2 linked regions of the Mus musculus genome follow. The protein of the gene in region 2 purifies or fractionates together with the protein of the main gene of each other region. This does not show direct contact. Links are inferred from orthologs where the notes say so. Each region holds a gene or a part of one and is shown on either strand. Other genes may lie near its edges.

Region 1 (4,875 bases), on a different chromosome or scaffold from region 2:
TTTTTTAAAAAACATACTTATATTAAGGTCAGTGGAAAATAAAAATGGTCTGCTAATAGGAAACCTCTATTCGTATGATTATAGTTAATTATCTTTTTTCCTCTAACATTTTAAAGATACAAATATTACTGGGTGATTTTAACTCATTTATGTTCAGTTATGTCAAGTGAAGTTTGTGTTTTTATCTTCTTAGTCACTATTCTATCGCTGTGAAGAGACATCATGACCAAGGAAACTTAGAAAAGGAAACATTTAATTGGGGCTTGCTTACAGTTTCGGAGGTTAGTTCATGACCATCATGGCATTTGGAGACAGTACCTGAGAACTTTAAGTCATCATTCTCAGCAAGGTAGAGAAATAGTGTGGAGAGAGAATAGGCCTTTTGAAACCTCAAAGCCCATCCTCGCTGACACACCTCTTCCAACACAGCCACACATCAGAATTGTTCCTAGACAGTTCACCAAGCTGGTGACTAAAGGCTATTCTCATTCAAACCACATTCCCTTTAGAATGTATACTGCCATTTTTCCTCTGCCTGCTGTGCTAATCTTCAATAATTTAAGGAAAAGAGGAAGCTATCCGAATAGGTAAAAAAAAAAAAACCTTTCAAAATCAAGATTATGAACTATATGTAGAGAGGGAAAACAAAGGACTACATTTTGGGTGGATCGCTAATGCAGTCCAAAAACAAAAACAAAAACAAAAACTGAGGAGTGTTAGAATAGGCAAGGGTACCTGGTTCTAAGCAACTGAAAATGTGCATTTCAGGCCTTTGTAATATGTGTCACATTTTTCAACCCCTAATCTTGAAAAAGATTAAAAACAAACAAACAAACAAAAAAACCAAGACACACCCCTAAAACCTGTGACAGAATACACATTACACATAGCATAAAATTAGCCGCTGTAAACTTTCCTTTCTTTCTTCTTCTTTTTTTAGAGAACCAGGTCTCGCTTATATAGACCTGACTAGCTTATAGACCAGCCTGGCCTTGAATTCAACAGAGATCCTGCCTCTGCCTCCTAGCACTGGGATTAAAGGCATGTGCCACCATGCCTGGCTTTTCTTTTTAGACAGGGTCTCACATGGCCCAATCTTTCGACTTCAAAAAAAATAAAAAAAGAATTTTCAGTCAGTTGGAAAAGAACTGAAAGAACTAATTTCTTTTCTCTCTTTCTTTCCTTTTCTTTTTTGGCGTGTAGTGTGTGTGTGTGTGTGTGTGTGTGTGTGTGTGTGTGTGTAAAAGAGTCACAGGGCAACATTGAGGGGTTAGTTTCTCTCCTTCTACCTTGCTGGTCCTCGGGATGGATCCCTGATGTCAGGCTTAGTGGCAGACACCTTTACTTGCTAAGTCAACTTACTCACCTAACCCACTTGTACTTTTGTTTCTGATGCTATGATGAACACTATGACCAAAAGCAACTTGAGAATGAAGGGGTTCACTCCATCTTACAACTCATAGTTCAAAACCCATCACTGGGGGAAGTTGGAGCAGAAACTCAAGCAAGAAGCTGGAGCAAAAAACCACAGAAGGTTGATGCCTACTTCCCAGTTTTCTTCTCCCAGCTTGCTCATTCTTTCTTATAAAGTCTAGGCCCACCTGCCCAGGGATCATAGTACTCAGAGCTGGCTGGATCCTCCCATATCAACCAGCAATAAAAGAATACCTCACAGACAAGTTCACAGGCCATTCTGATAGAGACGATACCTCAAATGAAAATTCCTCTTCCTGGTATGTTTGTTTTTATTACGTTGAAAAAAAAAACCTATGATACCTAATTCATAATTATGTTTCTACAGTGTACAAGAATAACTTCAGATGTTTAAAATGAGTCAAGTATTAAAATGAAATAGCACAGGAAATTATCTCAATAATTTGCAAGAGGACAATAATCTTGGATACAAAACCTAGGCAAAGCCACATGACTAATAGTTCTTTACAGTATGTGGCACATAGCATGAAGGGTTACTATATCTGTATCTTCCTCCTGAGTTCTGGGATTAAAAGCATGAGCCACCATGCCTGGCAACAACTGTACCTTTAAGAAAGGAAAAGAAAGAAAGAAAGAAAGAAAGAAAGAAAGAAAGAAAGAAAGAAAGAAGAAAGGAAGGAAGGAAGAAAAAAAAAACGACATAAAAATCCAAACTTGGGAAAAGTGACCAACGCCAAGAGAAGAGGGTGTACAGAGTAAGCAATGATCTCATTTCCATAGGGGAGCAAAACAACGTGAGTAGGCGCCTTTAAGAGATGTGGAAGGCTTTGTCTTACATGATTGAAAACGCTTTAGCGGGGTGGTTTCATTTTCTCCTTTATCATTTGAGGGGTTCACGGCCCCTCTCAAAGGGGACAATATGGCTTTTCGCAAGAAGGTGGTGCTTGTCTTTCTGTTACTGGGCAAACGGCGGGGTGTTACTCCACCTCTCTTCACTTTCTAGCTTATCGTTTCTTCTTCATGTTAACTTCTCAAAAGTTTCTGCGAGAGAAAAAGACACCCAAGAAGGCTGCTTTGTACAGCCAGCCTAATAGTGAGAGAGCCTAAGTCCTCTGGGGGTACAGCGAGCATCTTCCCCCTTGATCGGATTTCAGGACAAGCATTGCTCTTTTTCTTCTCGTTTGTTTGCTTGCTTGCTTGTTTTTGGTGTATAACTCGTTGCCACTCAGTTTACACGACGGTGGAGACTCTACCTAATGACTGGGTGACCAGGGAAGGAGGATGGCTACTTCTGCTCTTTGAGCCTTGGCCACCCATTCTCTCCGGGACTCCTAGGGGGAAGTTACCCAACTTCTCATTGACAAGACTATGATGACACTCCACAGGAAAGCAGAGAAGGGAATTGTGCAACTCCCGGGATAGACACAAAGAGTCTATTAAGTGTTCGAGGGCATAACCGCCGGGGCGACCGGCTTCTGCGAAGTCGAGGACTCCGGGATCCCCGGCGCCCCAACACCGCAGGCCGTGCCGCGCTCGTTTCCAGCCCCGGGAAGCAGCGAGGAGAGCGGCAGTCACCCTGCCGCGACGGGTGGGGGACTGTCGTCGCGGAGCTGAGGTCACGGGCCGGGAAAGCCCCACAGGGTCAGCTCGGGGACAGGGACCCGCGCTTTCTCTCGCTCAAAATCGCGCTGTAAACTCGCTGGGGCCGCAGCTCTACTTCTCGGAGGAGACTTCGGTGCAGCGCAGCGCATCCCACACCCGCTCACACACCCCAGCCCTGCGTCCCCGGGCTCGGCCGACCCAGACTCCCTGTCTCCGCTTTTACTCACAGTGGAGGGTTCCGGCTGTGCTCGCTCACGCCACAGGTCGCCGGTGCCCGGCAGAATGACTGCAACCGGAAGTAGCTTTCCGTTCCAGTTCAGAGGGCAGCGACTGCGCTCTGAGTCATTAACGCTTCACCTTCCATCCTCAGGGCCAGCCCCGCCCCACGTCCCGCCTCTGCAGGAAAGCCCCGCCCACAAAGCCCCGCCCCGCCAAGCTCCTTGGAGGCCCGGGGCCATACAGGAAATAGCATCTGACAGTAAGAGAACCCTAAACATAAGTCATTTGTTTAAAGGTCACTTCAGTGTCTTAGCTAGAATTTTGAGCAAACAGTAAATAACTACTTCTAATATTACCTTATATGTAGGTTAGAGAACCACTCAGAAAAACTTGATATATTGTGAAATTCCTGTTTAGAGCAGGTAGGGGAAGGCCCAGGAAATTACAGTTTTCACCAGATCCTTATGCGAATATAATTGAGTTAAAGTCCACAACTTGAGAAATATTACATATACACTCGGTGTTTCCTCCCACTAGTAATACTTTCCAATGGATATACTTGCTAAAAAAAATTCAATTTCTAGTAAATTTCTCGGGGATTAAAAGTTTCTCATTATTTTATCCAGACATGCTTGAATGATAGCTGAGAGAGAAATTTCAGATGGACGCAGTGAGAAAAACATCTTTTCCGTGTTAGAACAAGAGAGTTGGGTTCTGGCTGCCCCATTTTCTCTTTAGTTCAAAGATTCAAACACTTGTCTGGTTCTAACCGTTAGCTTGAATATTTGGGGCAAATTTTAAAATTCAAACCATCGTTTAAAACTATTAAAAAACTTTCATCAGCTGCGGTTGCTCACAGAAAACCTAAGCAAGATCCAACCAATCAACCTGCTACCACAGTGGTGGGTGGGGTTCACAAGCCCATATGTCAAACCAGTATCTGTGAGGAGCTAAGGGCAGTGGGTGGACTTGAGGGGAGGAGGCCAGTTTTATTTAGGGTGTGTCTCATGCTTCAGTAGATGATACTATGTCTGAATTTATACAGGCAGCACAAACTGGACTTTGTGGTCACTTGGGGTGGGAGGTGGAGGTCATAAGGTTGGGAGAGGGGATGGATCTAGGAGGAGTTGAGGGGGATATGGTCAGAACATTGTGGGGCTGGAAAGATGGCTCAGAGGTTAAACACATGATTGCTCTTCCAGAAGACCCCCGTTTAATTCCCAGCACACACATGGCAGTTCACAACTGTCTGTAACTCTGGTTCCAGGGGATCCTATACCCTCACCCAGACATATATGCATTATAATATATTTCTAAAGGAAAAATAGAACAAACACATTATATGATTCTTTAAAAAATATTATAAAATATTACTCAAAATTTTAACAAGCAGAACTTCCCACCTATAACATTTAGATCAAGTAAACACTTTTTCCCACTAAGTCATCAAGTTAATTGTGACACAGCACTGCTCATATTAAAATAAAACAAAATGACTTGTTTTCTCTAGAGCAGGGTTAGATGCAAAGTAAATTGAGAGAAAGGTCTAGAAACTTCCAGCATGTTCCTCATCTTCATCCTCAGTGCTGAGGTGGAAAAAACTGCTAGCAAGAACAATGT
Region 2 (4,650 bases):
TGATAAGTCACCTTCATTTAAAAACGAGCAAGAAAAAAGTTCCATTAAATTTCAAATGTCCCCAACCAACCCTACACACAAATTAGCTTAAGCTGAGCTTGAAGGGCTTCTTTGAAATGACTTGATTGCACATCAATGCTGTCAGGTTAATCTTCCAGATTAAACTCAGATGTATCGCACAGCAAATACAAACATTCTCAAGTCTACACAATGACAGACTCAGACACTTGCCTTCAAATTGTTGAGAACAAGCAGAAAACTTTAGAGTAGTAAAACGTGTGTCCTCTTTTTCTCTCTTTCCCCAGAATCCTAAACTAGTTGAGTTTTTTTGTTTGTTATTTATTGAGACAGGACCTCATGTATTCAGGTTCTGCACGTATCCACAGGGATAGTCCTGATCCTGACTCTACCTCCATTGCAAGTGCTGGGATTACAGACATAAACCACTATGCCCAGTTTACATAGGGCTAATGATGGAACTCAAGGTTTGTGAATGCCAACCAAAGACCCATCAATCAAGCTACATCTTCAGCCTAGAGCAATATTCCTTCTCAGACTCCATGCATTCTACAGAACTACAGCACTCAAGAGTGTAAGCTTCATGTCACGATGGACTCTGCCTGGCTCCCAGGCAAGTCTAGCCACTTAATAGCCATGTGTCCCCCTGCTATGTACACCTCAGTTTCCTGATCTGAAGTATGAATAATAGCATCTTCCTCAAAGAGTTAAACAAAATGCACATAAACCATGTTGTACAATACCTCACACATAGCACATAGCCTGCTTTATCCTTTTTTAAATCTAAATTTATAGTTTTTAAAAATGAATCCAGCTTATTCATAAGAAATTACCTCACTTCAGAGGGCAGAATTGAAACATAAGTCTGTTTCAATCCAGAAGTTAGAATTTTAAACGTTTTGTGATACGGTCATATAATAAGGCTGTAGTGAACTAGTCCTATCTCTTTTTTAATATTTTCCCCCCTTGGTGGGGTCTTCAGAGGGGGTCAGATCCTCAGGAACTAGAGTAATAGGTGGTTGTGAGACACTGGACTCTACTTAGGCAATAGGAACCAAACTCAGGTCCTTTACAAGAGCAGCCAAAGCTCTTAACCACTGAGATGACCTCCAGTCCCTTAAGTCATGCTTTTTTTCAGTTTTAGCTATGTATAAAGAAATGAAATATACCTCAAAAATAGTTTATTGTAAATCTGTGTATGGTGGCATATATGTATAACCCCAGCACTTTGGAGGTGGGGGCAGGAACCTCAGGGGAGTTCTAGTACAGCACTAGCTACAGACTGAATTTGAGGTTAGCCTGAGCTTGGCAAAAAGAGATAGTTTAGAAATGCCCAGGGGCAGAGGGTGTTAATGATGCTGCATGCAACACGTAATTGAAAACCTGTGGCCACCAACGTGGATACCTGATGCCATCTCTTCAGTCTGTCTTTCCTTCTCCTCTTCTCTTCTCTCATCTTCAGCATTCAAAAGTACTGAGACAATATCATTGACGGTCCTGTAGTTCTCACCAGTGGCCAGGATCTGCCGCTGAACCGTCTGTCTCACCAGGCTCCTACTGAAGCCCATTTCCAAGGCTGCTTTAACCACAGGCGTGCTCATCATGACGACATCTTCCGAACTTTCTCCAGGGCCAAAATGCACCACTGTCTCTAAAAAAATTTGCTAATATTAAACTCCACAAATTTAAACTATGGAAAGTAATGCCTGTGGCACCTTTATTTTTCATATCCTGGTAAGGGAGACATATCATGTGCATCAATTAAATTAACTTCAATACAATTTGAACTTTGGATAGTGTACTATGTATCTAAAAATTACTACCTACCTACAGTATATACATCCTAGATATAAACTTAAAATAAAAATCTCTTGGCAATTTGCTTAGGAGTCTGATTGTTAAAAAACAAAACAACAACAAAAAAACTCCAACAGTATTGTTGGGATGGCTCAGTGGTAAAGGTACTTACTGCCAAGCCTGACAGCCTAAGTTCAATTCACAGAATCCATGGGGGGTGGGGGAGGGGGGGGAGAACTAATTCGTAAAGTTGCCCTCTTTTTTTAAGAAAATAGTTTATTTGCTTTTATGGCACTGGGTTTTGGTTGCATTTGTCTGTGTGAAGGTGTCAGCTGCCCTAGAACTGGAGCCACAGGCAGCTGTGAGCTGCTGTAGGTGTTGGGCATTGAGCCTAGGCCCACTGGAAGAGCACCCAGTACTCAAAACTGCTAAGCATCTAGCCGGGCGTGGTGGCGCACGCCTTTAATCCCAGCACTCGGGAGGCAGAGGCAGGCAGATTTCTGAGTTCGAGGCCAGCCTGGTCTACAAAGTGAGTTCCAGGATAACCAGGGCTACACAGAGAAACCCTGTCTTGAAAAACCAAAAAAAGAAAAAAGAAACAACTGCTGAGCATCTCTCCAGTGCCCAAGGGTGCACTCTTAACCTCTATCCACACATTGTAGCGTGTGCACCCACACATACACTATAGTTTTTCCTCAAAAATCAGGTAGGCAAGATGGCTCATGGCTAAGTGTTTGCTGCACAAGTCCACCCAAATTTAATTCCTGAAACCCACAGGAAAGGACTGACTCCTAAAATAATTGTGTCTCCATGTCTTTATATCTGTGTGTGTGTCTCTCTCTCATGTACATACACACACAGACACACACACACACACACACACACAAACACACACACATGAAAAAATTTTAAAGTATCTCCCCAAAAGAGTTTAATATACATTCATTTTTTAAAATCAATGTACCACAAAAATACAGCTATGAGAAATTACCTTCCAGCAGGAAAGGAGGGCAAATATAAAGCTCAGTAGGAACTGGACATGTGACAGCAAAGACAAAGCTTCCCTGACACTCATAAGCAAGATCTAAATAAGCTACCACTTCAAAAACCAGCAAACAGTAGGGAAGAAGGTTAAGATGGGGGTACAACCTTGGCAGAATGCTTAGAATACACTGAATTAAAAATGGGGGTGTGGCCTAGGTGGAGGGCTTGTCTTCCACTCTAGCAAGCATGCATACATCTCTTCCCCACCCCTATAAAAAGATGAGGTGTGGGTGTGGGGCCTAGCACACATGAAGCACCTGGGTTGGAGTTATACCAATGGATATGTATCAGACTTGAATGATGAATAACGTCTAAACAGGTATATAAGTGAGGCAGAGAAAACAAGGATGGGCAGCATAAAGATGTAATAAAAACACAAATAAGCAAAACTACTGTTATTCTGAATGGAGGTTTTAAAGATGAAAATACGAGGTGACAAATGCAGGAAATGGGAGGCCATAGGGACACGGATGGAAGCATTCTCTGCTAACAGGGTCAGTGCAAGCTCATACTGTGCTTCTGTGACATTACAGCTGTACTTTTCCAAGATACTTTACTGCCATCCACTGGAAACTCATACAATCAACACACAAAAGTGTGTAGAGAGCAAATGTGGTCAAAAATATGTTAATCCTCAACACCTCATCCAGAAAGTAACATTTAAAAATAAATAAAACCCTAAAACTGAAACGATAAAGTAAGCAACAGGAACATGTGAAAGAGAACAGCAAGACTAGCCTTCACCAGCACAAGAGCTTAACACAGTCAAGAAATAAAGATGGTGGCAGACGGCAGGGACAGTAGTCATGGTATATACAGCTTTGTGAGGAGTGTCCACATCACCCTAAGTTTGCCAGAATATTGTAGGAGGAACTTAAGCAGAGAGCTATTCCAAAGGTAACTGGTGATGCTGCACAGATGGATTTGGGATCAGGAACAACTGGTCTACAAGATAGACCAGGGTAGCATGGACTAAGAGACAGTATCAGGACATGCTGTGAAGGCAGAGCATTTCTCAGGAGATAGCCCAGTTGGTTCTGTAACTGGGTGTTATGAACTGAGATGGGGAAGGTCAGAGAAAAACATCTGAAGAATGAAATCAGAGGAAACCTAGTGCTTTGACATATTTGCTGAGACAGCTATTGTAGCCCAAACTGGAAGCACCTCTAAGATTTACACAGGTAATTGAACATTCCAGCCTGGACTGCATCTGACCTGAGCATAATAAAGTACACTCGTTTAGTAGTCTACCACGTAGGAATATGAAAAAGGAACTAGCAGCAGAAACGGTTCAAAATCATCCTAACAAACTGGAAAAACACCTAAAAGAGTGGCGTCAGGGAAGTCCCCAAAGCTGGTGTGTAGAGGACAAAAGCTCAGTGTGCGGCAGCGTGCTTCCATCAGCCCTGCCCTGTGGCAGAGGAGCAGGAGCATCCCAAGCTCAGGGCCAGCTGAGGATGTGCCCAGAAGGATTCACTCCAGCAGTTTCCAGTGACTCTTGTCATTATCAAAGCAACATTTCCAGATTAGCAGGAGGTGACATAATCCAGTGGACAAGGCCAGGTGAGGTGGCCTGTAATACCTGTAATACGGTGCTCAGAGCCTTAGGCCAGAGGATCCAAAGTTCAAAGCCAGCCGGGGGCATATTATAAGACCCTGTATGAAAAATGAATGAAAAAAGAAAGGAGGGGAAATATGAGAAGAAGGGAAGAAAGAAGAACAGAGTCAAGTGGTTCTAAGAGAAAGAAAGAAGTTCTCTTCGCTCTCCTACTTTCTCTGTGCTGTCCTATG

The links. The genes of interacting proteins can lie anywhere in the genome.
Region 1: the proteins of Birc2 (region 2) and Tank purify together in Homo sapiens (affinity purification with mass spectrometry; 4 studies listed by BioGRID and IntAct, with this or other methods). This does not show direct contact. The link is inferred for Mus musculus from reciprocal best matches to the Homo sapiens genes BIRC2 and TANK.

The regions. Positions count from the first base shown.
Region 1 is NC_000068.7:61,591,597-61,596,471, reverse strand, and holds the start of Tank (TRAF family member-associated NF-kappa-B activator), read right to left. Parts: upstream 3,376-4,875; 5' UTR 3,264-3,375; intron 2,476-3,263; exon of another isoform or gene 2,271-2,475; intron 1-2,270.
Region 2 is NC_000075.6:7,819,551-7,824,200, forward strand, and holds part of Birc2 (baculoviral IAP repeat-containing protein 2), read right to left. Parts: intron 1,670-4,650; coding exon 1,424-1,669; intron 12-1,423; coding exon 1-11. UniProt on the Homo sapiens protein: Multi-functional protein which regulates not only caspases and apoptosis, but also modulates inflammatory signaling and immunity, mitogenic kinase signaling, and cell proliferation, as well as cell invasion and metastasis.